Elephas maximus indicus: one gene and its partners. Each later gene encodes a partner of the first gene's protein in a complex. Links are inferred from orthologs where the notes say so. Each region holds a gene or a part of one and is shown in the gene's direction. Other genes may lie near its edges.

Region 1 (7,304 bases):
CATTCCATGTAATAACCCATCTGTCATGGATTGAAATGTGTCCTCCTAAAACATGTGTCAACTTGCTTAGGCCATGATTCCCAGTATTGTGTGGTTGTCCTCCATTTTGAGATTGTAATTTTATGTTAAAGAGGATTAGGGTGGGATTGTAACACCCTTACTAAGGTCATATCCCTGATCCAATGTAAAGGGAGTTTCCCTGGGGTGTGGCCTGCACCACCTTTTATCTTAGGAGATGAAAGGAAAGCAAGCAGAAAGGGGGGACCTCACACTACCAAGAGAGCAGTGCCAGGAGCAGAGCGTGTCCTTTGGACCAGGGGTTCCTGTGCGGTGAAGCTCCTAGACCAGGGAAAGATTGGTGACAAGGACCTTCTTCCAGAGCTCACAGATAGAGAAAGCCTTCCCCTGGAGCTGGCACCCTGAATTTGGACTTGTAGCCTACTAGACTGTGAGAGAATAAATTTCTCTTTGTTAAAGCCATCCACTTGTGATACTTCTGTTAAAGCAGCACTAGATAACTAAGACATCATCCAATGCTTCATCTCATATTCCTCCATCTCTTCATTTCCCAGGACACTTTAGGCACTCACATTCATGGAAACCCCTATCCTTGTTATCTCCAAGAATCTCTCCACCCCTGAAATCTTAAATTCAAACCACCTGCTTATTACCATAACAACCTGAGGAATGTAGTACTACACTCCAGCCATAACTGGTTTGCTATGGCAGTGATTTTCAAGGTGGGGAGTGAGGCAGAAAGGAATAAACTCTCAAGAACATTTCATTTGGATGATTTGCTTAATCCAAAAACCTTCTTGGGTGATTTTTTTTGTTTGTTTCATTTTTGTTGCTGTAGAGAATATACACAGCAGAACATATACTAATTCAATTTCTACAGGTACAGTTCAGTGACATTGATTATGTTGTTCAAGTTGTGCAACCATTCTCACACTTATTTTCTGAGTTGTTCCCCCCATTGTCATAAACTCACTGCCCCCTATGTTTCCTATCTAATCTTCCTAGTTGTCCTTGTCAATTTGATCCTATATAGATAAATCTTAAAAGAGTACAATACTCAAGGTAGACATTCTTTACTAGTTACGCTAAACTATTGTTTGGTTTTAAGAAGACTTCAGGGGGTATTTTGGTTTAGGGTTTAAAGATTATCTTAGGGCAAAAGTTTCAGAGCTTCATCCAGCCTCAATGTCTCTAGAAAGTCTAGAGTCTGTGAGATTTTGAAATTCTGTTCTGCATTTTCCCCCTTTTGATCATGATTCTTCTATGGAATCTTTGATTAAAGTGTTCAGTAGTTGTAGGTGGACACCATCCAGTTCTTCTGGTCTCATGGCAAAGGAGGCATATGTTTATGGAGGTAATTAGCCACACATTCCATTTCTTCCTCCTATTCCTGAGTCTGCTTCCTCTGTTGCTCCAGATGGATAGAGGCCAATTATTGTAACTTTGATGTCCACTTGCAAGCTTTTAAGACCCCCTGCACGACATGACAAACTAGGAGGTAAAACAGAAGCACTGAACACACTATTAGGTCTATTAGCTGGGATTTCCCATGAAACCATTACCCGAAACCTCCAAAGAGACCAATTCCATGACGTGTTTGGTTACACATAAGCTTCAGCAGCTACTTTTTGTTGTTGTAAATATATCTATCACACATCTTCTGCAAATTCAATGTTTTACAACTTATTGACAGCAATTAATCAGCTGTGTAAGCTTACCCTTAATAAATGTGATTTTTCCATTACTGTAAACTGAAACTCAGTACTCCATAAGCACTAAACCCAGTGCCATTGAGTTGATTCCGACTCATAGTGACCGTATAGACAGAGTAGAACTGCCCCATAGAGCTTCCAAGGAGCACCTGGCGGATTCGAACTGTAGACCCTTTGGCTAGCAGCCGTAGCACTTAACCACTATACCACCAGGGTTTCCCCGGAAGCAATAGCTCTCCCTTTTCCCCTCCCTCCTGCCCCCACTCCCCGTAACCACGAATAAATTTTGGTTTCTGTACATTTGCTTGTTCTTGCCTTTTTTTTTTTTTCAAGAATTATATATCAAAATCTTCATCTCTGGGTGATTAGATTATGGATATTTTTCATTTTCTTCTGTGTATATATATATTTTTAACTTTTTTATTGTACTTTAAATTAAGGTTTATAGGACAAACTAGTTTCTCATTAAACAGTTAGTACACATATTGTTTTATAACATTGGTTAACAACCCCACGATATATCAACACTCTCCCTTCTCAACCTTGGGTTCCCTATTACCAGCTTTCCGGTTTCCTCCTGCTTTCTAGGCCTTGCCCCTGGACTGGTGTGCCCCTTTAGTCTATTTTGTTTTATGGGCCTGTCCACTCCTTGGCTGAAGCGTGAACCTCAGAAGTGACTTCATTACTGAGCGGAAAGGGTGCCTGGGGACCATACTCTCAGGGTTTCTCCAGCCTATGTCAGGCCAACAAGTCTGGTCTTTCTTTTTGAGTTAGAATTTTGTTCTACATTTTTCTCCAGCTCTGTCCAGAACTCTCTATTGTGATCCCTGTCAGAGCACTCAGTAGTGGTAGCCGGGTACCATCTACTTGTGCTGTTTTGTCTTTATATGTAGGTGAGGTAATACAATATCTGTCCTTCTGTGATTGACTTATTTCATTCAGCATAATGCCTTCAAGCTACAGCCATATTGTATGGCATGTATCAAGACTTCATTTCTCCTACTGGCTGAGTAGTATTCCATAGTATGTGTGTACCACATTTTGTTTATCTTTTCACCTGTTGATGGACATTTAAGTTGCTTCTACCTTTTGGCTATTGTAAACAAAGTACTGCAATGAACACTGGTGTCCAAATATCTGTGAGTCTCTGGTTTCAAGTTTTTTGGGTATATACCTAGGAGTGGAATGGTAGTTCTAGTTTTACTTTTTGTTCACAGGTGATTTTAATTGGCCTCCTCTAGGGAGCATTTTTCCTGTCATAAATCAAGATGGAAATAGAGTTAAGATTTCCTGGGTTCAAATTCCTACTCCCTGATGGCTAAAGAAGTTGAGCATCTTTTCATGGGCTTTTTGGCCATTTTTTATACCTAAAAATTTTTTTTTTCATGTGCTTTTTGGCCATTTTTTGTACCTACTTTAGAGATATGTCTATTCAGAATCTTTGTCCATTTTTAAATTGAGGTATCTGTCTTTTTATCAGAGTTGTCATTGTTCTTCATATGTTCTGGACATTATGCCCTTATCAGATTATCTTTCATTTTGATGAAATTCAATTTATCTATTTTTTTGGTAGCTTGCATTTTTGATGTCACATTTACGAAACTACTGGCTAATCAAGGTAAAGGATATTTACACCTGTGTTTTGTCTTCTAAGCGTTTTACAGTTTTAGCTCGTAAATTTAGGTCTTTGAGTAAATATTTTATATGATGTGAGGTAGAGAAAACTTCATTCTTTAGCATGTGGATATCCAATCGTTCCAGCACCATTTGCTGAAAGACTATTCTTTCACCACTATCTGGGCATTTTTGTAAAAAATAGATTGTAAATATGAGGGTTGATCGATTTACTTCTGGACTCTCGATTCTATTTGTCTAGCCTTATGCCTGTAGTGTCATTGTATTTTTAAAAATTTTTATTGTACTTTAAGTGAAGGTTTACAAATCAAGTCAGTCTCTCACACAAAAACTTATATACACCTTGCTACATAGTGTCATTGTATTTTAGAGATTGTAAAAGGACAACTCTTTAACGCGAAACAAAGTATTCAAGGGTCGGAATTAACCTCCTCTCCTTAGGGACTGAGAACTTTCAGTAGCGTCTTGTTCATTAGTAGCCAAGGTTGTGTCCAATAGGATCTTTTTTTTTTTTTTTTAATCAAGGTTATGTGTTTGGCTGGAGCTAAAAGGGTTAGCTCCTGGGTAAGAAGTACCAGTATTTAATGCAACACACTTAAGAAACATTTACGACGAAGAAGACCGGAGGGGACAAAAGGAAGTTATCAGCTTTTGGCTCAGCCTTTAGAAACGCGCAAGGTGTAAGGTAGGAGTCTGAATTGTCAATGTCGTTCCCATACTGCGGCCGGGGACTTTTCCCCTGTGTATGGGCTCGGGACTGAGGCGCAGGGTCTGGTCCTTGGATGAACTGGCGAGATTTCGGTTAAATCACTCGCGCTTCCATCGGTATGGCCGCTCCCGGGCCCTGCCATCTCCGGGCCGCTCCCCCATCCGTTTTCCCGCCTCGCCATTCCTTCTCCCCCCATTTCCCCTCCCAGCGCGTAGCGGAAGTGACGGAAGGCGTAGCGGAAGTCCCTCCAGCCGCGGTGTTGTGCTGTGGGGAAGAGAGACGGATTTGTAAACCCCGGAGCGAGATTCTGTCTGCCCGAGGTCACTGCTGTGCGGAGACCCCTGGGGTGAAGCCACCGTAACCATGTCTGACCAGGTACCGGGCCGGGAGCCGTCCGACAGCGGCGGCGGGGCCGTAGCCGGCAAGTCCGCCAGGCGCCTGGCTGCGGCCGGGGATGGAGGCGCGGGGGAGGGGAACGGGGAATGGGGGAGGGGGCGGCCGGCCTGGACCCGGACAGCGAGGGAGGGGAGCTGGCGAGGGCCGGCACCGTCGGGGCTTGCCGCCGGCCTCCAGAAGCCGCCCCGCCCCTCTCTGAGCTCGCCCACCGCCCCCAAAGCCTCGGCGCCTCTGGTCACCGCCTCTCTCCCTTCGTCCCTCCTTTTCCTTGGGGTCTGCCAGGTGCAGAGCTCAGCTTCCACCTCCCAGAGAGGGTCCCTGGGGAACCCAGCCGCCTCACTCTCCTGAGGACTGATTGCAGAAGCAGGGCCTTAGGCCTCGGTTATGTAACGGGAGAGAATTCCCTGACTGGGAGGCTCCGTGGCCTTGAAAAGCAGATGGGTTTCACTTTTTGGACGCCGGTCTTTGGAAGGTCCCAGAGTGGGTAGGAGGGTGGAACTCGGGCTGGAAGATGTTGTTTGGTGCTGCTGGGAACTTAGGAAGATGTCTTCTGTTCGGAGGGTTACAGCTAGAGCCGGGCCGCCGCGTCTCTTTGAATCCTTTTTCCGTTTGGGGGTGCAGAGCTGTTGCCTCTTTACTTGTACTTTCCCATTTCTTACTTGGGATTGGTTCAGCAACTCTCCAGTTGTAACAGAGCACTCAGAATAACCAAGAAACAAAGCAGAACAAGAGTACTAGAACAACAGAAACCCCCTGCATCTGGACATTAACCTGGAGATGACTGATACCTCTGAGGAAAGAATAGGAAAACTAAGTGTATGTAGAGCAGTTGCAGAAAGCTGCCCCTATGACGAGGTGCTCCATCTCAATAGTCTTGTTAGATGCTGTCGAGTCGCTTCCGACTCATAACGACCCAGTGTTACTGTCAGGAATTTTCTTGGGATTTGAACCCAATCGGGAGTGATCGATTTTCCCAGCTAAGTTTTTTCCCCCATTCGTTCATCTCGTTAACCACGGTTATGGCTAGTTTTTAATTCACAAGGTTTTTGTCTGGTCTTTGTTTTAGTTGCTCAGAGGACTATGACTTTTTAAAGTATTTTTGGACCGTTTATTTGTTCAGTGACAGTTATAAAAAAATGTTTTTTGTTCAACTCTACAGTTTACTTGAACTTTTAAATTTAACACACGTTCCCTTGGCCTTTAACCAAGTTTTGTATATCTTGGTGAGAGCAAGTTAGGCCTTCGTGGATTTGTACTATTGCATAAAACTTACATTTATGTTTTTAAAAATTAACCATAATCTAAATTAGTTTCGAATGGGTCTAGATTAATTCCCAAGTTGGCTATGGGAATGGCATTATAAGTATTTCCCTAGACAGTTGTTTACTTGGTTGACAGAGAGGAAAGAACAGGTGTAAATGCTTAGTTTCATCAGCCTTTTACTGTGATGCTCAGAAGTGACTAGGATGCATGTTGAAATTTGCTACATAGCCTGAGGAAAGAGTAACACACAGAAAGAATTATAAAATAAATTGTAGAATTTTTTGCCCTGGTTTGAAGTTAGGTCATTTAAGAAAGACATGAAGGAAGAAACAAAGGGCCTACAATACTAACAAAGTGGCCTTGAGATTCTTTTCAGGGGATCTGGAAAGCCCAAACTATTTTCATGATGATGATGGGACTTTTTTTTTTTGCCCTTTTCATTCTCATTCTTTCCGTGGAGTTTCTAGAGGCTACGTGGCCTGTAATATCATAACAGATTGAATATAGAAGCAGATGTGAGAATCCTGCTGCATTCTGTTAAACCCAGAAAGTAAAGAGATTTGCAAAAAAACAGTGCCAAGCTTCCCATGAATTTTGTTTTGAAAAACCAGGGCTTGAGCCCACTTTTCAGACAAGATTAGACAGGCTTATAAAACAAAGAATAACACACGTGACGAATGTACTTCTTAGTTCAGTCGAATGTATGAGACCAAATGGGCAACTCCTGTCCAAAAGCAAGAGAAGAAGGCAGGAAAGGACAGGAACTGAATGAATGGACACAGGGAACCCGGGGTGGAAAGGGGGAGTGTGCTGTCACATTGTGGAGATTGCAACCAGTGTCACAAAACAATGTGTGTATAAATTTTTGAATAAGAGATTAGCTTCAGCTGTAAGCTTTCACCTAAGGCACAATAAAATTAAAAAGAACCCCCGCCCCCCCACCCAGGGCTTCTGAGCTGGATTATTTCGGTTCAAACCCCTTGCCAAGAATGTGCATTTCTACCCAGATATTCTGATTCAGAATCTACATTTTAACGAGATTCCTGGGTTATTCTTATGTATACTAACTTTTGAAAGCCACTGCCCTGCTAGTGGTTCTCAGGATTTGTTTCTAACCAGCAGTATTAGCATCTCCTGGGAATTTATTAACCAAAAAAAAAAAAAAAAAGCTGTTGCGATACACTTGATTCCGAATCACAGTGACCTTATAGGGCAGACTAGAACCGCCCTATAGGGCTTCCAAGGAGTGGCTGGTGGATTTGAACTGCTCACCTTTTTCAGCCAAGCTCTTAACAAGTGTGCCACCAGGGCTCCGGGAACTTATTATAAAGGAAATTCTCAACAGGGGTTCAGACTGGTTTATTTCAGTTTGAACCCCTGTGGAAAACATGTTTGAATAAAAATGTTATTTACTAACTTTCAATGGGTTTATTGTTATTTTAAAACGAAAGTTTTCTCAGTTTCTAATACTATAAATCTCATGCTGTGAAGCTAACAAAAGGTTTATGAGGCTTTTGATAATTTCTTAGAGTGTGAAAGAGTCCTGAGATCAAAAAATTTGAGAACTGTTA
Region 2 (7,701 bases), on another chromosome or scaffold:
ACCAGACAGAAGCAAAATATTTTTTCTCATTAAAAATTCTTTAAAAAACCAAACGCTAGCAAGTGCCCATCTAAGATGCATCAATTGGTCTCAACCCACCTGGATCAAAGGACAAAGAAGAACACCAAGGACACAAGGTAATTACGAGCCCAAGAGACAGAAAGGGCCACATAAATCAGAGAATACATCAGCCTGAGACCAAAAGAACTAGGTGGTGCCGGGCTTAACCGATGACTGCCCTGACCGGGAGCACAATAGAGAACCCCTGAGGGAGCAGGAGAGCAGTGTGATGCAGACCTTAAATTCTCGTAAAAAGACCAGACTTAGTGGACTGACTGAGACTAGAAGGTCCCCGGTGGTCATGGCCCCCAGACCTCCTGTTGGCCCAGGACTGGAACCATTCCTGAAGCCAACTCTTCAGACATGGATTGGGCTGGACAATGGGTTGGAGAGGGATGCTGGCGGGGAGTGAGTTTCCCGGATCAGGTGGACACTTGAGACTATGTTGGCATCTCCTGCCTGGAGGGGAGATGAGAGGGTAGAGGGGGTTAGAAAGTGGCGAAGTGAACACGAAAAAAGAGAATGGAGGGAGGGAGCAGGCTGTCTTATTAGGGGGAGAGCAACTGGGAGTATGTAGCAAGGCGTATATAAGTTTTTGTGTGAGAGACTGACCTGATTTGTAAACTTTCACTTAAAGCAGAATAAAAAAAATTTTTTTTTAATTCTTTAAAAAACCTAATAAACAAAAATTTGGGGAGAAGTTTTAAATAATGGTGCATCAGTCCCATGGATTTTAGATAAGAAAGAAGAGGAAAGAGAGGCACTAGGCACTTACCTGTGCCAGAGAGAAATCCTGGGTGGTGCAACCAGTTAATGCTCTCACATGCTAACCGAAAGAGTGGAGGTTCGAGTCCACCCACAGGCATCTCAGAAGAAAGGCTTGATACTTCTAAAAAGTCAGCCATTGAAATCCCTGTGGAGCACAGTGCTACTCTGACATACGTAGGCGTCGCCATGCGTCCGAGTCGACTTGATGGCAGGTGGCTCTTGGGCTGGGCACAGAGGTAAGCTCCGTAAATCTGAGAGGCAGATTTTATTAACGTCGTTTTATAGATTAGGAAACAGGCGTGCATAGGGCTTGCTGCTCTTTCTCCATCAGAGCAAGGCCAAGCTGTTTGTGGTAAATGTGGGCAAGTTTTGTAATGAAATCCAGTATGAGAAAGGAGTATGTGGACTTTTTATTTTTTGAACATTTTATTGTGTTTTAGGTGAAAGTTTACACAACAAACTAGTTTTCCGTTCAATAATTCATGTACAAAGTGTTCGTGGCAGTGGCTGCAATCCCTGCGATGTGTCAGCATGCTCCCCATTTCCACCCGGCTTCCCCGTTTCCATTTGTCTGTCTTCCCTGCCCCCTTTCTGCTTCTCATCTTTGCTTTTGGGCAAACATTGCCCATTTACTCTTGTGTAGTTGATTGTTCTAAGGAGCACATTCTCCACAGGTGTTATTATTTTATAGGCCAATCTATTATTTGGCTGAAAGGTGATCTCTGGGAGTGGCTTCAGTTCTAAGCTAGAAGGGTGTCTTAGGGCTATAGCCTCAGGGTTCCTCCAGTCTCTATCGGACCCGTCACTCTGGTCTTTTTTATGAATTTTAATTTTGTTATATATTTTTCTCCCACTCTAACCGGGACCTGGAGCCCTGGTGGCACAATGGTTCAGAGCTTGGCTGCTAACCAAAAGGTCGGCAGTTGGAATATACCAGACACTCCTTGGAAACTCTATGGGACAGTTCTACTCTGCCCTACAGGGTCAGGATGAGTTGTAATCAACTGGATGGCAATGAGTTTGGGGTTTTGGTTAGCCCACTTCAGGACCAAAGCAACAACATCCCATCTTTGGGTGCCTACCTCCATTAAATGGTCCAGAACTCTGTTCCCCAAAGAGGTCAGCAAAACCAAAGCTGAGCAGAAATCTTTTACATTCAATGAATGCTACAGGGAAAATTTGCAAGACCAAAGGATGGATTGGGGGGGCTGAGTCTTCTTTGACCTGTGAAACTGAGGTAGGTTTTGAGGACAATGGGGTGGGGCCTGGAAGAGCTAGAAGGTAAGGATCCCCGAGGGAGGGGGATTAGGATCCTTGCAGAAAACCAGAGCATGGTTTGGGAGACGGATCCTGCGTAGGCTGAAGCTATGAGGCTGTGCCCCTCCTGCGGTACAGGGGCACAAATTAACCAAATCAAAAGCAGAAATCTCAACATCCTGGTTACTCCACTTGGCCCCGGGGCATTCTCCCCTGACTCTCCAGTGAGGGACTCTTGGGTCCAGGAACACCTTTAGCAGTGATGGGGTTGGATTTAAGGGTAACCATACTCCATGGCCAGTGGAGGGGCTTTGGCTCACAACCCTACTGTGGACTACAAGGCACCATCTGTTGGACAAATCTCAGGCGGGAGCAACTTTAAGTCTGAGTCCCCGCCTTTTTTTTTCCATTCTAGAGGGTAGCCCCTCCACTGGCCATTAAGAGGACACAGAGGGTATGTGGAGGTGTGTGTGTGCACGCTTGTGCTTAAGGCCCTGGGATTCCAGCTGAGGTCGGTGAAGCCAACACACGTTCCCTTTTCATGGCAGGTGCTATTAACGAGGCAGGAAAAGCAAGAAAATTGTCTTGGTGTTTTGTACTGGGGTACTCTGAGACTTGACCCCAATATTTCTTAAATCTCTATGATCAGTTGCTCTTCTAAAGCTGCTCTTCAAAGGCTGCTCTTTGGCTTTGGAGAAAATCCACCACCCAAAGGATTAAAAAAAAAAAAAACGAGTATGGGAATAAAGACGACCTCTTTTGGTGGAAAGGAGGGTTGAGCTATTAATAGCTGAACTGCTCTGCATAACAATGTTATCTTCTTTTGAGAGGGCTCCCAAATCTTGTGAAATTTACTGGGAGTCTGGCCTAAAATGGGACAGGTAGGTGGCCTATGAAAAGATGTTGAGGAGAGTGGCCTTAGGGCTCGTAGTGTCCCTGGAGGACATGAGCAATGGACCGTAGATACTGAATAATAGCTAACTCTAAGTCTTCTTCTCGGCCTTCCGTTATTCCCAAACTTTCAGTAACAGCCTGATGGTAGCTAGGCTTTGAAGAATTAACGGAAGGACCTGGGTCAACCCTTGGGACTTGCTTCCACCTTCTAGGAACTGTTCCCCACCCCCAGCCCCAAGTGGTAGTGGCCTCAGGTGGGAGGCTGATGGTTCTGGAGCTTTAGGAGGTGACTTGCAGCAGAATTCAAGAATACTGTCTGTTGAGGCGAGCCCTGGTGGCACAGTGGTTAAGAGCTCAGCTGCTAACCAAAAGGTTGACAGCTTGAATCCACCAGCCACTCCTTGGAAACCCTATGGGGCAGTTCTACTCTGTCTCACAGAGTTGCTGTGAGTCAGAATGGACCCGAAGGTAATGGGTTTGTTTTTTTTTTTCTGGTCTGTTGAGGAGGCTGTACTGGACAGTGCCAGCCTTAACTGAATCACAGGTGGAAGAACAAGTGCAGACAGGGATGGATCTGTGGAACACAAAACCTTTGAGGATTCTGCGAATTGTTTGGGGGGTGTTGGATCCAGGGGGTACTGGGTTTTCTATCATTAAATCGGCTGGGGTCTTGCTCTATGTTTGGTAATTAACTACAAGTGTGATCTCTAGGTTACAAAGGGAGGGTAATGAAAAGCACCCCTGGCTGGCCTTGTAGGCAGCGGGTGTCTTTCCGTCCCGAAGGTTCTGTGAAGCCTTCCTTGAGCAGTTCTACCCTGCCCCTGTCTCCCCCAGCGTGTGGTTCTCCTTTCTCTGGCTCCCACTGCACTTTGCACACACTTTTATAACAGCCAACTACCTTGTATTTATGACTTGTAGTTATCTGTGTACACGTCTCTCCTAGTAGACTGACCTCAAGGGCGAGAGACGGGCGCTGGTGGTCAGACTCCGGTTCAAATTTCAGTTCCGCCACTAGGCAGCTCTGTGATCCAAGGCGAATTACTTAATAGCTCTGTGCCTCAGTTTTCTTGTTTATGAAATGAGCACAAGACTTCTATCGCCTGCGGTTGCAGGGAGAAATGAAGGCGACAATACACGCGAAGTTCCCGGGCACACGGTATATGCAAAATAAAAGGTATCGATCACGATAAACATTTTTTAATTAACCTGGCCTACCCTTGTCTTTATTTTTATTTTTTGTTTTTACCCTTGTCTTATGCATTCAACAAAAACAGTGGTTAAGAGCTTGGCTGCTAACCAAAAGGTTGACAGTTCGAATCCACCAGCCGGTCTTTGGAAACTCTATGGGGCAGTTCTACTCTGTCCTATAGGGTGCGCTGTGAATCGGAACGGACTTGAGGGTCACGGGTTTTGTTCTGTTTTTTAATTTGTACTGTTTCAGGGACCGGTAGCGCTTCTTCCGGGTGCAGACGCCCTCACGTGTTGCCTGTGGGCCTTGTCCCGCGGTCCGCCTCAGCATTGGCTCCGCTAGAGAGAAAACCCCGCCCACATCCCTTTCGATCTCGTCAACGATTGGGCCGGGACCCGCCCACAGGGATCTTGTGGGGAGGTGGGGCTGAAGATCCGAACGCAGACGGCTTTCCGGTCGGGCTGGAGGAGGTGACGTCGGGAGTGGTGGTGGGCGGGGCCTCCTGTAGCCCTGGGGACGTTTTATCTGCCGGCCTTCGAATTGCGTCACAAGTCGGCGACTGAGCCTTGGCGGTGGTGGCGGAGGCGGCAAAGGCGGCAGTGGCGGCGAAAGCTCTGGGGTTTGCGTCTCGGGGTGTATCGGCCGCCGCTGCTGCTGGGGCCTGGTATGTACAAATGGCTGGTTAGAATTCTCGGCACCATTTTCCGTTTTTGTGACCGGCCGGTGCCCCCTGCCCGGGCCCTCCTGAAGAGGCGGCGCTCGAACAGGTGAGAAGAGAAGGGGACTGAGTGCCAACCAGGCCTGGCTGTACCCCACTCCCAGCCCGGGGTCGCGCCGATCCAGGTCCAACAGCCTTGCTCAGCCGAACCGCTGGCTGGGATGAGGCCGAAGATGTGCGGGTCGCGGGTATCCTGGTGACGTAGCCACTCCCTCCACGCTGGGAGGATGCGGCTCCGGGTGAAGGAAGGAGCCGGGGAGAGGTGGTCTTTGGAGAGGCCGCCGGTGGTAGGCTCTTTCCTGTTGTCAGAGTCCGAGTGGTTGCTGACAGCAAATCGGGCTGTGTCGTATTTTGTTGCCTTTATGCTGAAAGCTAAACAGGGAAGGAATGTTGTCTTTGTTGTGGTTCACTGTTTACGAAGCAGATTCCCAAGCGTCATCGTCGGGCAGTTAGGACAGTTAAAGAGAAGTGAGATTCATAGCTTGCCCAAAGGGATGTGACTGCGAGCAGTGTTCTCTTAGCACCAGGAGACAGCAGCTGTCTTGTTCTGAAACAGCTGTCAAACGCTGTGTGTGTTTGAGAGGCGGGGGGAGTGGTTTTGTGCTTTAAAATCGGCCTATGAGACAAGAAGTTAGGTACCTCATTCTTCAAAAAGATCACTAGTCTGTGCTATAAAATTTGGGGGAAACTAAAAGCTGTTACTACTTAGCATCTATTCCTTGGTTTATCCCCTTTTATAATATCTACTCCCTGACTAAATAATTTATCTAGAGAATAAAACACCATACAGGCCCGCTCCCCAACTTCTGGTGATGAAGTGCTAATTTCATTGTTTTTAAGCTTCAAAATAAGAGAAGATGGAAAAAAATGGTTTCTGGGAGCTGAGAGAACAAGATGATAATACGGGCGCCTGAGGATGCAGGCCATTGATGAAATTGGCAGTTGGCTAAATTCTGTTACATGCTGCAAAAAGGGCATGAGGTCAACCTATTCCTCCTCTCTACCTTTCGGCTGGGTTGACAGGAGGACCATTTAAGATCATGTTGTAAAGTACCTAACCTGATGCTTAGTATATATAAAGGTAGTATTGGTTTAGTCTGCCGCAGGGCCTTCTGTGGTATCTGGTGCATAGGACACACTTGGTACAACAGAGTTACCGAGGAAAGGAATGTTTCTCTTCCCTTTTCTTCCTTTTGTGAATCCCTGCTAGTCAGGAGAACAGTGGTTTGGAGATCAAAAGCCTGTTCTTTACCACACTTTAAGTGCTCACATCCTTAATCTAAAATCACTGTTCTCAACATAAGCCATTTTTCAGCCAGAATGAAGTCAGGGCGTCTGGTTGGTGTGTTTAAAGTCATGAAGTGAATGGTATCCTCCTGGATCTCATTCTGTTCTTTTTTTTTTTTTTTTTTTTTTGGTGAATATCATTAAAAGTATTCAGTAAGATGATTGGTAGTATGCCGTGAGCCTTTAACATTCTTGTGGTATACCTTTAGAAATGTTCCTGAATTGGCAAATTCTTTATTTCCACTGTAATCAAATTTCCATGATAAAGATGCACATAACACCTTTCCTGGCTAGGAGCTATATTTTAAGACTGCTTATGTTTATTGTTTGAAGTAGAAGGTAACTTTCTTTGGGATCATCTTTCAAATGATTTCCTTGCTTGTTTTCAAATAATTTCTGGAGAGAAAAAAAAGCTACTAGTTCAGGGCTCTTACCTAGGCTCGTCTACTAGCTAAGTGACTCATGGCCCATTTCAAGTTTGTATCTCAGCTTGATTACAGATTGTTATATGATAGGGAGTTCTGGGTCACTCTCAAATAGTTAAAAACCTTAGTGTTAAATCCTCAAATGCTAAAGACCTGCTGGGGTCCCCACGAGTCAGAATCAACTTGATGGCAGTTAACAACACCATAGAGCGGTGTTCTTTTAAACCATCAGTTGAATCTCATAATTATGATGAAGTGGGTGGAAAAAGAGTGTGTTGTATAAATAGTAAGTTTGCTCGTAGAAGTGGATATGTTTACGTATATATGTCTGCATATGTATATGTACTATACATATATGTATATATATACACTTTTTTCCCCTCTGTCTCCTTTCAGCAGTCTGTTTTCCACAGTGGACACTGATGAAATACCAGCCAAAAGACCGAGATTAGGTACTGAATATTAATTTAAAAATTATTTTTTAAATAAGAAAAGTATATGGATGAAACAAAATTCTAAAGGTAAACTGTATGTACTGAGAAAAGTCTCTGCTGTCTCTTTCCTACTCAGTTATCTTTTCTAGAGATAACCACTGTTACTAGGGACCGTCCAGCTTAGATATGTTGGGTATTTATTTTTAAATTCTAAATCTTATACAGAAAAGGTGCTTTTCATTTTTGAGGAAGAAACATTGTAAAACCTAACCCAAGCTGAATGATTTAGGTTGAATACTGAGTGAAAAAAATCTAATGTATTGTCACAAATCTTGTACTTCCTCATATCTGAAGGGTTAGATGTGGCTTTGTAGAAGAAAATAAAACTAGGTTAAGAGTTGAAAAGGAAAAAAAAAAGAATGAAGTTCTAATATATGCTACGACATAGATGAACCTTGAAAACATTATGCTGAGTGAAATAAACCAGACACAAAGGACAGAGAGTGTATAGTTGTATTTATATGAACTATCTAGAATAGACAAATGCATAAGGATAGAAAGTATATTAGTGGTTACCTTGGGCTAAAGAGAGAGAACGGGGAGCTGTCCCTTAATGGGTCCAGAGTTTTTGTTTGGGGTGATGAAAGTTTTGGAAACTTGTAGTGGTGA
Region 3 (7,650 bases), on another chromosome or scaffold:
CGCTCTTGGGTTCACCAGCCCCTGCAGCTATATGAGTCAGGAGAAGACTTCAGCCTGACGCATGAACTTAGGATTTCCCAAACTCTACAGCTGCATGAGCCACTTCCTTGATATGAATCTCTCTCTCTCTCTCTGTATGTATATGTATGCATGTACAGATAGAAATATATACATATATATATATATACGTTGTTGCGGTTGTTAGGTGCCGTTGAGTAGGATCCAACCCATAGCGGCCACATGCACAACAGAATGAAACACCGCCAGGTCCTGCACCATCCTTAAAATCATTGTTATGCTTGAGCTCATTGTTGCAGCCACTGTGTCAATCCACCTCGTTGAGGATCTGCCTCTTTTCTGCTGACCCTGTACTTTGCTAAGCATGACGTCCTTTGTCAAGGACTGATCCCTCCTGGCAACACGTCCAAAGTATGGAAGATGCAGTCTCGCCATCCTTGCTTCTAAGGAGCATTCTGGTTGTACTGCTTCCAAGACAGATTTGTTCATTCTTTTGGCCGTCCACAGTATATTCAATATTCTTTGCCAACACCACAGTTCAAAGGTGTCAATTCTTCTTCAGTCTTCCTTATTCACTGTCCAGCTTTCACATGCATATGATGCGATTGAAAATACCATGGCATGGATTGGGGCACCTTGGTCTTCAAAGTGACATCTTTGCTTTTCAACACTTTAAAGAGGCCCTTTGCAGCAGGTTTACCCAATGCAATGCGTCTTTTGATTTTTTGACTGCTGCTTCCATGGCTGTTGATTGTGGATCCAAGTAAAATGAAATCCTTGAAAACTTCAATCTTTTCTCCATTTATCATGATGTTGCTCATTGGTCCAGTTGTGAGGATTTTTGTTTTCTTTATATGTTGAGGTGCAATCCATACTGAAGGCTGTGGTCTTTGATCTTCATTAGTAAGTGCTTCAAGTCCTCTTCACTTTCAGCAAGCAAGGTTGTGTCACCTGCATAACGCAGGTTGTTAATGAGTCTTCCTCCAATCCTGCTGCCCCGTTCTTCATATAGTCCAGCTTCTTGGATTATTTGCTCAGCATACGGATCGAATAGGCATGGTGAAAGGATACAACCCTGATGTATACCTTTCCTGACTTTAAACCCATCAGTATCCCCTTGTTCTGTCCAAACAACTGCCTCCTGATCTATGTAAAGGTTCCTCATGAGCACAATTAAGTGTTCTGGAATTCCCATTCTTCGCAATGTTATCTATAATTTGTTATGAACCACACAGTCAAATGCCTTTACATAGTCAATAAAACACAGGTAAACATCCTTCTGGTATTCTCTGCTTTCAGCCAGGATCCATCTGACATCAGCAATGATATCCCTGGTTCCACGTCCTCTTCTGAAACTGGCCTGAATTTCTGGCAGTTCCCTGTCGATATACTGCTACAGCGGTTTTTGAATGATCTTCAGCAAAATTTTCCTTGCGTATGATATTGTTCTATAATTTCCACATTCAGTTGGATCACCTTTCTTGGGAATAGGCATAAATATGGGTCTCTTCCAGTCAGTGGCACAGCGGTTAAGCGTTTGGCTGCTACACAAAAAAAAGGTCAACAGTTTGAATCTGCTAGCTGCTCCTTGCAATCCCTATGGGGCAGTTCTGCTCTGTCCTACAGGGGATCGACTCGAAGGCAATGGGTTTAGTTTTGGTCTAAATATCTCTTGGCATAGACGAGTGAGCACCTCCAGCGCTACATCCATTTGTTGAAACATCTCAATTGATATTCCGTCAATTCCTGGAGCCTTGTTTTCTGCCAATGCCTTCAGAGTCCCTTGGACTTCTTCCTTCAGTACCATCAGTTCCTGATCATATGCCACCTCTTGAAATGGTTGAACATCGACGAATTCTTTTTGGTATGAGTCTGTGTATTCCTTCCATCTTCTTTTGATGCTTCCTGCGTCGTTTAATATTTTCCCCATAGAATCCTTCATTATTGCAACTCAAGGTTTGAATTTTTTCTTCAGCTCTTTTAGCTCGAGAAACACCGAGAGTGTCCTTCCCTTTTGGTTTTCTATCTCCAGTTCTTTGCACGTCATTTTAATACTTTACTTTTCTTGCGCCACCATTTGAAATCTTCTGTTCAGTTTACTTCATCATTTCTTCCTTATACTTACATATACAGAGTGTTATGGATTGAAATGTATCCCCAAAAAATGTGTGTCAACTTGGCTATGCCATGTTTCCCAGTATTGTGCGACCGTCCAACATTTTGTGAGCTGATGTGATTTTCCTATGTGTTGTAAATCCTGCCTCTATGGTGTTGAGACAGGATTAGAGGCAGTTATGTTAATTCGGCAGGACTCAATCTATAAGATTAGGTTGTGTCTTAAATCGGCCTCTCTTGAGATATAAAAGAGAGAAGTGTGCAGAGAGACAAGGAGACCTCATACCACCTAGAAACAAGAGCCAGGAGAACAGTGTGTCGTTTGGACCTGGGGTCCCTGTGCTGAGAAGCTCCTAGACTAGGGGAAGACTGATGACAAGAACCTTCCTCCAGGGCCAGCAGTGTGAGAAAGCCATCCCCTGGAGCTGGCATCCTGAATTTGGACTTCTAGCCTCCTAGATTGCGAAAGAATAAATTTCTCTGTTAAAGCCATCTACTTGTGGTATTTGTGTTATAGCAGCACTAGATAACTAAGACAGAGAGAAGCGCTTCACTCGTTTAGCATTTCCAAAGAACCCAGCCTAAGACAATGGATTAAAAAAAAAAAAAAAAACTTCTCGGAGAATAACAAAGAAGCTAATAGCAGGGGGTACTTGTTTGGAGGAAGGTGTGCGAAGTGTCTGGATGGGGTCAGGAACGTGAGAAATCATTTTCTTTGTGCCTTTTTAATCTTTAAAAAATTTTTGAGCCATGTGAATGTATTAGCTATTTAAAAATTAAATAATTATTTTAAAATAACACCAAACCAACAAAAAAACCCAGTGCCGTCGAGTTGATTCCGACTCATAGCGACCCTAGAGGACAGAGTAAAGCTGCCCCATAGAGTTTCCAAAAAAACACCAATATTAATATATATTAACACATCAACATAGCATAAACATTTTAAAAGTACTATTCACCAGGTTGTCTTGAGGAAAAAAAATAATATATAGGCAATGTTGAGTCCAATACAGTGACACATACAACACCCGATAATGGCCACTATTTTTGTCCCCTCCCAAAATCCCTGCCCACATCCCTCTCATACTTTAGGTTCCAGTTCCCCAAATTGAAAGTGCCCACGTGCCTCTTCCGCCTGTACCCTTGCAGGGGCCTTCCCCTCTGGCCGACTATCTTTCCCCTCCTCTTCTCTCATGGCCCACTTAGCCTCAAGTCTCAGGCATCACCTCCTCCAGGAAGACTCCTGTGATTGACATAACCCTCATGCTCCCTTCCTCCATGGCAGTCCTCACCCTTTGTGGACTCCAAGGTTTGCTTAATCCTCCATAGCCCAGGGTCCTTGAGCCTATGCACTCCTTTCCCCTGTAGTGTTGCCCTGGCCAAGAAATGAACTCTCTCCCACACCCTCCTCACCCCATGTTGGCTGGGTAGGTCCTGTCCTCTACCCACACCAAACCAAAACTAAACCCATTGCCTTCGAGTCGATCCCCTGTAGGACAGAGCAGAACTGCCCCATAGGGATTGCAAGGAGCAGCTAGCAGATTCAAACTGTTGACCTTTTTTTTGTGTAGCAGCCAAACGCTTAACCGCTGTGCCACCACCCACACAAATATCCAGAAAAGTTTCAGTTTCCCCTAAATGTTACGTTGCTCTTCTCAAACCCACAGAGAAACTCAGCAGTTTCAGTTTCTCCTAGGTTTTGATCTCATCATTCCTGTCTCCCCTGGCTCAGCCTGGAGGGGTAAGTGCTATCTTCTGGCAAAGGCACGGCAAAGGCACGGCTGTCCTGGTGAGGATCTGCGGGGCTTCCTGTTAACGCTGTGCCTGCTGTGTGCAATAGGGATGACGGAATACATGAATCGCTCACTCGCGCAGTTCATGGTCCCTCAGGCAAGGCAGGCAAACATTAGGAACACCTAGGGACCAAGCACTGCCATCCCCACGGGGCCTCAAGGGGCATGGGAGTGTGGCTGCTGGGGATTGGAGGGAAGACTTAGTCCCAGCTGAAAGGGGCCAGTAAGGGTTAGAGGGCACAGACAACCCCAGCTGGAAAGTTTCAGGGCCCGGAAACACCTGTAGATGTTCCAGGCTTGGGGAGAGGGCGCCCTAGAGCTAAAGCCTGAATCCCCATGGCCGTGAGGTCTGCGCTGGGCCTTAGGGAGGTGCCTCAGGCACTGTGGAGACACACAGGAGGAGGGAAAACGCAGTGCCAGGCAATGGCTGGAGCAGAGGGGCAAGCTGGACCAGCCTGACCTGGACAAAGAGGGAGCACGCCCTGGGAGGGCCAGGCCTGATTCCAGAGGACAAGCTGAGCTTGTTCCTCAAAGGAGACACTCATTTAGCTCTGATTTTTGTCTGTTTTTTTCCGTAACACTCTCCAGGAAGTAAGCTTCATTTCTCAGGACTAGAGAAGTCGGAGGCCCATCTCTGGGGCCTCTGGGGCTGGGGCACTGAAGAGAAACCCACTGGGCCCCTGGGGCCAGGCCTCAACGTCTATCTGTGTGCACCCCTTCAGCCAGTGGAGAAACAAGCAGTGACCCTGGGTGGCCCAGGAGAGGATGATTGCAGCCCAGCCCCTCTCCTTAAGGTGATGAGCCCCCCGCCCTACCCCTCATTAGGTCCAGGTGTTTGGGGGCCCAGTTTTGACCTGCCCATGCCCCTCTCTCCTAGTAAACCTGTACCTCCACCATAAAGAGGGATAACAGAGTGACCCCCTGTCCCACCCTCCTGCCTGTGGGAGGAGTCAACACTTGGAGTCACTCAGCAAAGAAGGGCACAGCAGGGGTATCTGGACCCCCGTGGCCCTGGCCCAGCAGTAGGGGCATTGCCTCATGGACCCTCCTAGGCTACTCCCACTACATCCAGTCTCCACTCCTTCTCTCTTCTGATTGTAAACACATTTATTTCTTTTGGAGGTTTTCAGGCCTCTGGCTAGAAGCACGGGAACAGCAGGGCTTCCCTTCATGCTGCCCTGGGTCCCGGCCCATCACGCATGCAAGACGGCCGGTACATGAATCAGGTTATCCTCAGGAGCAGGGCCAGGGGAGGAGCAGGCCCTGCTCTCTCCCATCCCCACCCTCCAACTAGCCTGGGCCTGGGCTGCACCCAGGAAGGCGGGCCCAGCCCGGATCCCCAGGTGCCTCCGCTGTAGTGAGTGCTTCTCGGTGGCTGCCTGGCTTCTCCCTCCCCCAACCCTTTCTGCACCCCTCCTTCTGAGCTCCCCCAGCATTCCGAGCCGGAGCCACACAGTCTGGCCCCTCGCTCAAGGCTAAAGCAGCTGCTGCCAGGCTGTTTCTGTGGTCCTGGCTTCCCAGCCAGGTAGGCAGCAGAGCAGGGCAGGCCCATCCACACTATGTACCCAGCTCAGGGGATGGGCAAAGGCTTGTCCAGGGAACCAGTGTTGCAGGCAAGAAGGGCAAAACAGCCTGGTTTGGCCTCTCTCGGCCTCCGCTGTCTGCCAGCCTCTGTCCATTGGCCCCAGCTGGGCCTGAAATGCCAGAGAGCCTCAATTCTCCAAGGTGCATCAACAGTGCTGCCTCCTCCTCCAAGAGGCCTTCCTGGCTTGGCACCAAGCTCGAGGCTGGGCTACAGGTGGTCAGCTGAGGCTGCTGCTACTTCAGGGCCCTGAGGACAGCCTCCAGCTTCATGGCCACGGCCAGGTCACCCTTCACCTTCAGCCGCCCGCTCATGTAGGCCCCCAGGGGCCGTAGCTCCCTACAAAGCAGGGCCCGCAGGTCCGCCTCGGTCATCTCCACCAGCACGTCAGGGATGCCATCAGGCACCCCACGTCCCACTCTCCCTCGCCCTGTTGGGGAAAGAAAACGGAGTGTTAGTGGGGTGATTACCGGGATGGGGGAGGGGTGCTGCTGAATTCCCCTGCTGACCTATTCTGTAAAATGGATCTTATCCGCAATACAAAAAGCCTTCCCTCCATCTGTTTCAGAACTGCTGGACTGCAGGGTTATCACGTCCTACCGGGAGAGGGGAAACCCTGGTGCCAAAGATGTTAAGTGCTACGGCTGCTAACCAAAGGCTCGGCAGTTCGAATCTGCCAGGCGCTCCTTAGAAACTCTAGGGGGCAGTTCTACTCTGTCCTATAGGGTCGCTACGAGTCGGAATTGACTTGACAGCACTGGGTTTGGTTTTTGTTTTGGACTGGGAGAGGTGGAAAGCAGTGGTTGGAGTTGAGGTGCTAACACCCTGGGTTTCAGTCCTATTGGCTGTGTGGCCGCTCAGAGCCTCAGTTTCCTGATCTGTGAAACGGGGATGATAGCAATCCCTAAATCATAGAATCAGGTGCAATAACACACAAGAAGTGCTTCACACAGTGCCTGCGACACAGTAGGGCCACAACACACGCAGGCTCTTGGTGTGGGACGCCTGGCCCTCTGAGCTGTACTGCCAATGGTGGGGGGCCGAGCCTGGACAATCATTGTCGGAAAATGGCATCTGAGCCCCAGACTGCCATTTGAGTTCACCCGAAACTGCTGGCAGGAGTAGGAGACAGTCTGAAAGAGGACCACTGGGGGTGGGGGGACCTACAAGCAACCTGGGTAGGAAAGAAGGGCAGGCAGGCTGTCGCACCTGTGGTGAGGTCCAGGAAGTAAATGTTCTGGGTGCCACTGGGCATGATGACATTGAACTGGTAGCAGGCTCCGACCTGGCTGACCAAGGCCTCAGACAGGAAGGGCTGCAGAGCAGTCAGCAGCTCCTCAGCCACAGGCTGCTTCAGGCTGGGCCCAGCGCTGACACTGGGGGCAGGCAGCTCAACTTCACTCACCATCTCCAAGGTGTCTGCTGGGGAGGGAGGCAGAGAGGAGGGAGCAAAGGTCAGTGTGCTGCCAAGGCCAGGGCACTGTGGCCTCAGTACCTGTGTGCGGCAGTTCCCCTCATAGCCCTTTCAGGCCTCTATCAACTTCCTTCTCCGCTAAGAAGCACCCCCTGGGTTCCAGCCCTAATCCCCCAGCCAGCTCAACCTACTCCAGCTTTGAGTATAAGACTCGTTTCCCAGCTTCCCTCTGGGCCCTGTTGCCTCCCTCCCATGGGGGTTCCCAAAGGCCTCCACACTCCCAGACACCTGGACTCTACTCACTGCCTTAGCTCTGGTCAGCTCTAGCATCAGGGCTGCTTGAACAGCTGTGCAGGGTGTGCCCTGCACAAGTGTGCCTGGTTAAGGAAGAACGTGGCCAAGTGCAGCCTGAGCTGTGCTCTGCTTGCCAAGCTGAGTGCTCTGGTGCAGGGCCCCATATGCCCAAACTAGATGCCTTTTTCTGTCTCCATCAAAGGTGCTGTATGAGCTAGAGAAGCCCTGGCTAGCACCAACCTCCCACAAAACACCCTTCTCCCCACAAAAAGTCTCCATTTCCTCTCTCAGCCCAGGTACATGAAGAGCGGCCTCCTCTCCCCTACCATCCTCGCAGGGCTCCTCACCTGGCCCCGGGGGCAGGGCACCTCCTGCCACTGAGGACATGCCTCCTCCCAGGAAGTGAAGGGCCAGCTGCTGGAGGGTGCTGTCCA
Region 4 (7,286 bases), on another chromosome or scaffold:
TCTAACCAGAAAACTTATGTCATTAACAGCTTACAAGGTATTAGAAACTATAACTATAAAACATCAGATAGTTAATTAGAAAACTTCTAACTTTAGAAATTAACTTTAGAAATTGATAAATAGAATGTAGTAAAAAACCTCTAGATGCTGGCACTGCATCCATGTGCTATGATAAATAAATTGTAACTTATAACTAGATAGGGGGTCTCTAAATTAGAAATACAAAAGTTTGAAGTATTTTGCAATGATGTAAAATATAGTTAAACCTCCCTAAATTGGCTCATCACATGTATATGATAAAAACCTCCCTAAACATATTTGTTGCATCTATGCTATAACAAAAACGTTCCTAAATTGGCTCGGCACATATGTGATATGATAAAGGAATTATTACATAAAATTGCCTCTGTGTTACTTGGTCTTGAGACACTAGGTAAGTCGTAAACAACCACCAAATCTTTGACCTTGAAGAAAAAAAAGGTGACATACTAGTCTCTGTTAAACATGACATCACCTAATCCTTATTGTGCAAGGTCAAATTAAAAATTACATGTATACACTGGATCTCGGCTCATGCTCTGAGAGGCAGGCAGAGGCAAAGTATCTCTTTAGTCTCTGACTTTCTCCGAAGACTATGAGAGCTTGCAGGCTACCCACCGCTACAGACCTCGGACCCTAGCTATGCGGGAGCTCCACCAAGTTCCAGCCATGGTCAGTCTTCCTCCCGAGAACCTCTTGTAAAAGGTAAACGCTTTAAGTCTAAAGATTGGGACTCTAACTACTGAACTAACACTGTAATTGTAATTGTCAATTCTTATTCTTGGGTTCTAAAATGGAAGACTTCAGTGCGTGCCTTGCCATGACTACCTTGCAATAAACTAAAGGAATTTATGCATGGCAAACCCGAGCATTTCTTTATGTTTAAGACAAAATCCTACAAGAAAACGACATCTCTATCCCTCTCAAACCTCACATCTTATTTTTGCCCTGGAGTTCCTGGGTTGTGCAAACTTTAACATGCTTAGCCAGCAGAAAGGTTGGCGGTTTATGTCCACCGAGAGGCGCCTTGGAAGAGAGACGTGGTAATCTCTTTGAGAAATCAGCCACTGAAAACCTTATGGAGCAGTTACTCTGACACACGTGGCGTGGCCATGCTTTTTTTAGACTAAAAGGCAACTCCTTGGCTTGTATTTGCCCCAGTAGTTCGCAACTACCCCGCTTGGACCCACCGACCAATCAAAATCTTTCTCTTTTTATGACCACCCCTTGAGCTCACGATGTCCAATTATAATCCGCCTCTCCCAAAATTCCAAAAGGTCTAGGTTATAACGTCCAATCTCAGCCAAAGGCAGACGTGAGTGGGGGTGGGGTGGGGGTGGGGCGGGGCGGGGTGGGGGTGGGGCGGGAGAACTATGCCTGAGCTGACTGTAGACCCCGGGCACTCGGCTACTTGTCCCCAACCCCCTCAGGAGAGGCCCCCACCCAGCCAGCCACCCGCTGTCAAACCCAAAGGGACTTTAACGGCCAACTGAAAAATAAAAGGCCCAGCCCCCTCCTTGACGGACAGCAGCTCACAGTAGCACACAAGGTCCACTTGCTCACCCTTTCTCTATAGGGTCCCCAGACCTTGAGCCTTGACCTTAAAGACCCAGAATGTGGACAGTTGGGCTGCCTGCTTGTTCCAGTTTGTTTGTCTCTATGTTGGGCCTAATGATTCCAAATCACAGAATCATAAAGTGGTAAAACTGGACAGGATTTTAGGGATTGTTTAGTCCAGACCATTCGCTTTATACTGGGTAATTAAATGATTGCTCCAAAGGCTCTCTTATCTCTCTTGAGTGGGGGAATTAGGGTCAAGACAGGTGCAGGACTTGCAAGCACCACACCCCTTAATCCTGGCAGTGCTGAGCAAGGCTTCCATGCCAACCTCCCTGATCCAGCCAGCTGTCAGACTGGGGTTCAGGATGGCAGAGGAAGGCAATGTGGACGAGGACGATGTGTTCCTGGTGTTTGCCCATGGTCCCTCTCCTCCCAGGGGTCCCCTTCGTCAGACCTTGGACAAGGCCTTCTTTATCTTCCTGGTCCTCCTCCTGACACTGCTGATGCTGCAGGCTGCCTATAAGCTGCTGTGGCTGCTACCATGGGCAAAGTTTGGGGACTGGCTCCTGCAAACACCTCAGAAGGAGCAAGAGCTGGAATTGTGACCATCTTTCCTAGAAGCATTCTCTCTCCCTGCCACAGAGGTGAGAGGGGAGACAGGAGGGAAATGGGACTGTTGGGGGTTGTGGAGGGGACATTTATATAGCTTAGAGAAGCAATCTTAATTTCCTTGAAGTAATTTTGAGAATAAATAATTATGAAATAATTTTGAAAACGTATGTAATCTCTCATTTTTAAGTGGCATCTAAAATTTTTCATCATAAATTAAGGTTGCTTCAAGAATTGAAATCAATCTTGGCATATTAATAATGTTCACATTTTAAAATAAAATAGTTAAATCACCCTTTTGAATGTCAAATTGAATTGAGATATCATAGTGACTTGATGGAGCCCAGGTGAAATAGTGGTTAAGAGTTGGGGTGCTAGCCAAAAGGTGAGCAGTTTGAATCCACCAGCCACTCCTTGGAAACCCTATGGAGCAGTTCTGCTCCATTTCTAGAGGGTCGCTATGAGTCGGAATTGACTCAACCGCAAAGGGTTTGGTTTGGTTTTTTGGATGAAAGGAATAGGCTCTTTGTCTCTTTGAGACAAGGTAAGATTAACTAAAAAAAAAAAAGATTACCACAGAGATTTTATGGTTGAGAGCTATACTCTTCTTTTTTTAAGAGGGAGGAAGTCCATTGTAAAAGGGGAAGGGAAGAAAGAGAACCTGTACTGCCGGTGCTTACTCAGGAAAACAATTTTGGGAAAGGTGAGGATCTGGAAATTAGATCCAGTAAAACGCCCATGCTCAGGTACCCTTTGGAGTGTCTTCATGGTCTCAATTTGAAGACTTAGGCTTAGAGAACTGGAGAGAAGTGGTGTGGAATTCTTTAATGGGAGGGAAGGTTTGATGTTCTGGGATTCCAAAGATGTGGGGGATGTAAGGGTGGTACTAGAAAGTGGGAAGATGCTCGCTACTTATGGAATGCACAGGATGCAGGAGGTGAAAATCTCAGAGACTGGAGTCGTGTTAATCTTTTGGGTTTGCACATGAGCTCACCTCTGGACTTTGCCCCTGCCTTGACGAGTCCCTCTAGCCCCACTAAAGCTGGCCGAAGGGGTGCGGGTGAGACAGGCATCACAATCAGTTTCTTCCTCCTTCCTTCTTTCCACAGCAATCCCACAGGAAGAGGAGACGAGACCCCAGGTACTTCACGAGACTCATTTCTCATTTTGTCTCATACCCTTACAGTGGCAATTTGATCAGATTCTTAAAACCCTTGCCCCATCGCCGGTCCTTAGGCGCTGGACTCCTCTACGAAGCACAGCCTCCTGGTCAGCGCCTCCTGCGCGTCGGGGAACCCCTCTCGAGAAGAACAGAAAACAACCCAGGTCCCATCTGCTTGATTGATCGTTACGTGGTGATGGGTGAAAAGCAAATCAACAGTGGCAATAATAATAACGCATTTGTGTAGCGCGTTGTGCTTCTTCGTGTGCATGTGTTATGATTTCACGATGGGGAGATGGAGGCATCTAGATGTAGAGCTAGATGGAGGGTAGCAGCAAGGGGCGTGCAGCCGTCGGAAGAAAAGGGGCGGACGCAGTTGCTTAAGCTTTGCAAACCAACACCTGGGAGATAGGAAATCTGGGCCGGAAGGTTTGTCAATAGCCCAGCGGAAGGAAAGGATTTTTTTTCCTCTTAAGAGATTCTCACTCTTCTATGAAACCTTCCACAGCCTTGGGGAACCCAACTCCTTATCTGTCCTGTTCCGTTCCCCCCCCGCCCAATTGGAAAAGTGGCTCAATCCTCCCTGCACGCGATTCACCGGCGGTTGCGCTCAGTGCAAGAAGTTTCTGATTGGCGGAATCGCAGAAGCACCGGGTGAAAAGAGCCTCACTGGCTTCGCGCATAAGTCCGGACTGAGACAACGCCGTACGGCAAAATGGCGATCCCCGGGTGCTTCGCACTCCTTGAAGGGACAAACCACGCCCCCTACAGGTTAGGGGATAGGGCGCCGCAGACTACTGGAGATACTCGAGGGGCGGGACTACATCACTTCCGGCCACAGGACAACGTTCCGTATCATAAGATGGCTGCGCCTAGGTGCATGTAAGCGGAAACTCTGCGGCTTCCGGTCCTGAGTAGGGACTGCGGTGGGAGGGGGAAGGAAGGCGGAGAGAAGCATGCGAGGTTCTGAGATCAGCGGTGAGGGTCGCCTCGAGAGACCGTTTCTGAGGTGGGCGCTGGACGGTGCGGGCAGACAGGGTGGGGATATCGAGGGAGAGGTATTGTGGAGACCCGAGAGCTGAGCTCGAGAGCAAACTGTGGTACCTCCTATTCCTGAAGGGGAGAGAGCGGCCGGGGGCTGAACTGCGGGGGGAGGGGGGATTTGGCGGGAAGCTCACCTGGGGAAGGGGGCCGGACCCAGGATTGGGATTGAAGAGGAATCAAGAGAGCCCAGTCAGGGGCTCACGAGCGGTTACGGGTCAACGGAGAAAAAAGGGAAAATTAGGGTGGGGTGAGAGGGAGGGGATTCGAGGTAAAATATCTCCAACCTAATTTTTTTTTTTAAAGCCCCGGTTTGAAGGGACCTATTAGACGGTGGAATATGGGAATAATTCAAGGAGAAGAAAGGAGAATGGGCTGTTGGGAGAGAACCTGTTCCTCCACAGAGAGTGTAGGAGTTGGGGTGATCATTCAGGATGGGGTGGGGGGTGCAGGTTTGACGTGGTTGAGGGCGAAAGGGGGAAAACGTGGGGTGTGCCAACAGTGATGTAGCATCTGTGCAAGAGGGTGTCAAAGAAATAAGATGCAGTGTGGTAAACTGTCCTGGGAGGAAGGATCAACTTGCCAACTGTGAGAAACCTTGGATAAACGAAACAGAAAGACCGGAAATCGATCTGAGGGGTGGAGCTGGAGATAGGAACTTACTGTTTGTAGGTGGTTGGGGATCCCCCTCCCAGGTGCAGGGCCCGAAAAGTATATGTAACTAATGGTTGCTGATGATAGTCAGTGAAGACACTGTTGGGCAGAGCTGGGTATTACTGAAACCCAAGGAGATTGGAAAATGTGTGAGATGAAGGGATGGGGCTATGCTGGAGGGGCTCTTTCTGAGGCCCCATCCCCTTCCAGCAGGATTTCTGAAATCCCCACCACTTCCTCCCTCCGGGGGATTTGATCCCCCATGGCCACCGATAACAACATCATCGTGCTGGATGATGATGACGAAGATGAAGCAGCTGCTCAGCCAGGGCCCTCCCACCCACCCCCCAATCCGGCCTCGCCCAGGGCAGAAGCCCCTGGCCCCTCTGAGCCCTGTGTGTCCGAAGGAAGCAGTAGTTCGGGCAGCAAGAAATGCTACAAGTTGGAGAATGAGAAGCTGTTTGAAGAGGTGAGCTTTAAGGGAGGAGATTCTTGTACTCTAGGGAGGGGGAGGGCTGACTGGCTCTCCTGTCCTTTCTTCCCTGCTAACCCCACCTCACCTTCCTCTCAACCATCTCCCTTGTCTCTTTTCCTCTCCTTTCTTCCTCTGAACTGTCCAGTTCCTTAAACTGTGTAAGATGCAGACGGCAGAGCACCCTGAGGTGGTCCCATTCCTCTATAACCGCCAGCAGCGAGCCCATTCTCTGTTTTTGGCCTCGGCGGAGTTTTGCAACATCCTCTCTCGGGTCCTATCTCGGGCCCGGAGCCGGCCAGCTAAGCTCTATGTCTACATCAACGAGCTCTGCACTGTTCTCAAGGCCCACTCAGCCAAGAAGAAGCTGAACCTGTCACCTGCTGCCACCACCTCCAGTGAGCCCTCTGGAAATAACCCTCCCACAGACCCCCCCTTAGACTCCACAAATGCTGAGACCACTGCCTCTGAGGCCCCAAGGACCCGTGGTTCTCGGCGGCAGATCCAGCACTTGGAGCAGCTACTGGCCCTCTATGTGGCAGAGATACGGAGGCTGCAGGAGAAGGAGCTGGATCTCTCAGAACTGGATGACCCGGATTCCACATACCTACAGGAGGCACGGTTGAAGCGTAAGCTGATCCGCCTCTTTGGGCGCCTGTGTGAGCTGAAAGACTGCTCTTCACTGACCGGCCGTGTTATAGAGCAGCGCATCCCCTACCGTGGAACCCGCTACCCAGAGGTTAACAGGCGCATTGAGCGGCTTATCAACAAGCCAGGGCCTGATACCTTCCCTGACTATAGAGATGTGCTGCGGGCCGTAGAGAAGGCAGCTGCTCGACACAGCCTCGGCCTCCCTCGGCAGCAGCTCCAGCTCATGGCTCAGGATGCCTTCCGAGATGTGGGCATCAGGCTACAGGAACGACGCCACCTTGATCTCATCTACAACTTTGGCTGCCACCTCACAGATGACTATAGGCCAGGTAGGGAGTTTGCAGGATGCCCATCAGCAACCCATCAGGTGTGTGGCAGAGGGGCATCCCTTTAGTCTCTCCTTCTAGAGTTTGGGCTGAATGCTCTGACTTTATATCTTCCCACATAGGCATTGACCCTGCACTGTTGGATCCCATCCTGGCTCGGCGCCTTCGGGAAAACCGGAGCTTGGCCATGAGCCGGCTGGATGAGGTCATCACCAAATATGCAATGATGCAAGATCAGAGTGAGGAGGGTGAGAGACAGAAGAGAAGGGCTCGGCTCAAAGGCACCTCTGGCCACCCTGCAGAACCCCCCAGAGCCTCCTCAGATTCTGGTGAGGTATGAGAGGGATACCTCCTTCAGAGAGGCCATGTCCTTCCCCTGCACTGGCCTCCAGGGAGTCTGGGGTGACTGCTGGGGGAATGTGCAGAAAGAAAGCAAGGGCTGGACTCTGGAGCAAGGGATTTCTTAGAGAAACTCCTTTGTCCTCTAGGGCCCTAGTGGAATAGCATCCCAGGAGTGTCCTACCACCTCCAAGGCTGAGACAGATGAGGAAGAAGATGAGGAAAGTGATGAGGAGGAGGAAGAGGAAGAAGAAGAGGAGGAGGAAGAAGAAGAAGAGGAGGAAGAAGAGGAGGAGGTTACAGATTCTGAAGAGGAGGAGGATCTGGAACAGATGCAGGAAGGTCAGGGGAACAATGAAGAGGAGGAGGAGGAAGCAGGTATGTCAGGGAAGCATTCCCCCCATGTGTCAGTTCCCTCTACTTTGTTGAGCAT

The links.
Region 2: the proteins of SUMO1 (region 1) and SENP2 are in contact, whole or in part, in a crystal structure (PDB 1TGZ), measured with the Homo sapiens proteins. The link is inferred for Elephas maximus indicus from reciprocal best matches to the Homo sapiens genes SUMO1 and SENP2. Residues at the interface, in NP_001005781.1 of Homo sapiens: Asn60, Arg63, Leu65, Glu67, Gly68, Gln69, Arg70, Ala72, His75, Glu89, Tyr91, Gln92, Glu93, Gln94, Thr95, Gly96, Gly97; in NP_067640.2 of Homo sapiens: Asp386, Lys394, Leu395, Arg396, Trp410, Leu411, Asn412, Asp413, Glu414, Thr440, Phe441, Pro444, Lys445, Arg456, Trp457, His474, Val477, His478, Trp479, Met497, Gln542, Gly545, Ser546, Asp547, Cys548, Gly549.
Region 3: the proteins of SUMO1 (region 1) and PML are in contact, whole or in part, in a crystal structure (PDB 8DJI), measured with the Homo sapiens proteins. The link is inferred for Elephas maximus indicus from reciprocal best matches to the Homo sapiens genes SUMO1 and PML. Residues at the interface, in NP_001005781.1 of Homo sapiens: Gly19, Glu20, Tyr21, Ile22, Lys23, Ser32, Glu33, Ile34, His35, Phe36, Lys37, Val38, Lys39, Thr42, Lys46, Leu47, Ser50, Arg54, Glu84; in NP_150241.2 of Homo sapiens: Glu554, Arg555, Val556, Val557, Val558, Ile559, Ser560, Ser570, Ser571, Ser572, Arg573.
Region 4: the proteins of SUMO1 (region 1) and DAXX are in contact, whole or in part, in an NMR structure (PDB 2KQS), measured with the Homo sapiens proteins. The link is inferred for Elephas maximus indicus from reciprocal best matches to the Homo sapiens genes SUMO1 and DAXX. Residues at the interface, in NP_001005781.1 of Homo sapiens: Lys17, Glu18, Tyr21, Ser32, Ile34, Phe36, Lys37, Val38, Lys39, Thr41, Thr42, His43, Lys46, Leu47, Ser50, Tyr51, Arg54, Gln55; in NP_001135441.1 of Homo sapiens: Glu731, Glu732, Ile733, Ile734, Val735, Leu736, Asp738, Ser739, Asp740.

The regions. Positions count from the first base shown.
Region 1 is NC_064824.1:101,097,323-101,104,626, reverse strand, and holds the start of SUMO1 (small ubiquitin-related modifier 1), read left to right. Parts: upstream 1-4,293; 5' UTR 4,294-4,437; coding exon 4,438-4,449; intron 4,450-7,304. UniProt on the Homo sapiens protein: Ubiquitin-like protein that can be covalently attached to proteins as a monomer or a lysine-linked polymer.
Region 2 is NC_064819.1:29,551,091-29,558,791, reverse strand, and holds the start of SENP2 (sentrin-specific protease 2), read left to right. Parts: upstream 1-4,690; 5' UTR 4,691-4,834; coding exon 4,835-4,935; intron 4,936-6,994; coding exon 6,995-7,050; intron 7,051-7,701. UniProt on the Homo sapiens protein: Protease that catalyzes two essential functions in the SUMO pathway.
Region 3 is NC_064831.1:64,098,282-64,105,931, forward strand, and holds the start of PML (protein PML), read left to right. Parts: upstream 1-4,637; 5' UTR 4,638-4,720; exon of another isoform or gene 4,721-5,744; coding exon of another isoform or gene 5,745-5,938; intron 5,939-6,717; coding exon of another isoform or gene 6,718-6,930; intron 6,931-7,563; coding exon of another isoform or gene 7,564-7,650. Other genes in the region: STOML1 (stomatin-like protein 1), read right to left, coding at 5,745-5,938, 6,718-6,930, 7,564-7,650.
Region 4 is NC_064819.1:96,114,975-96,122,260, reverse strand, and holds the start of DAXX (death domain-associated protein 6), read left to right. Parts: upstream 1-4,279; 5' UTR 4,280-4,379; intron 4,380-5,275; 5' UTR 5,276-5,327; coding exon 5,328-5,534; intron 5,535-5,685; coding exon 5,686-6,517; intron 6,518-6,636; coding exon 6,637-6,848; intron 6,849-7,002; coding exon 7,003-7,231; intron 7,232-7,286. Other genes in the region: SMIM40 (small integral membrane protein 40), read left to right, coding at 1,965-2,204. UniProt on the Homo sapiens protein: Transcription corepressor known to repress transcriptional potential of several sumoylated transcription factors. Down-regulates basal and activated transcription.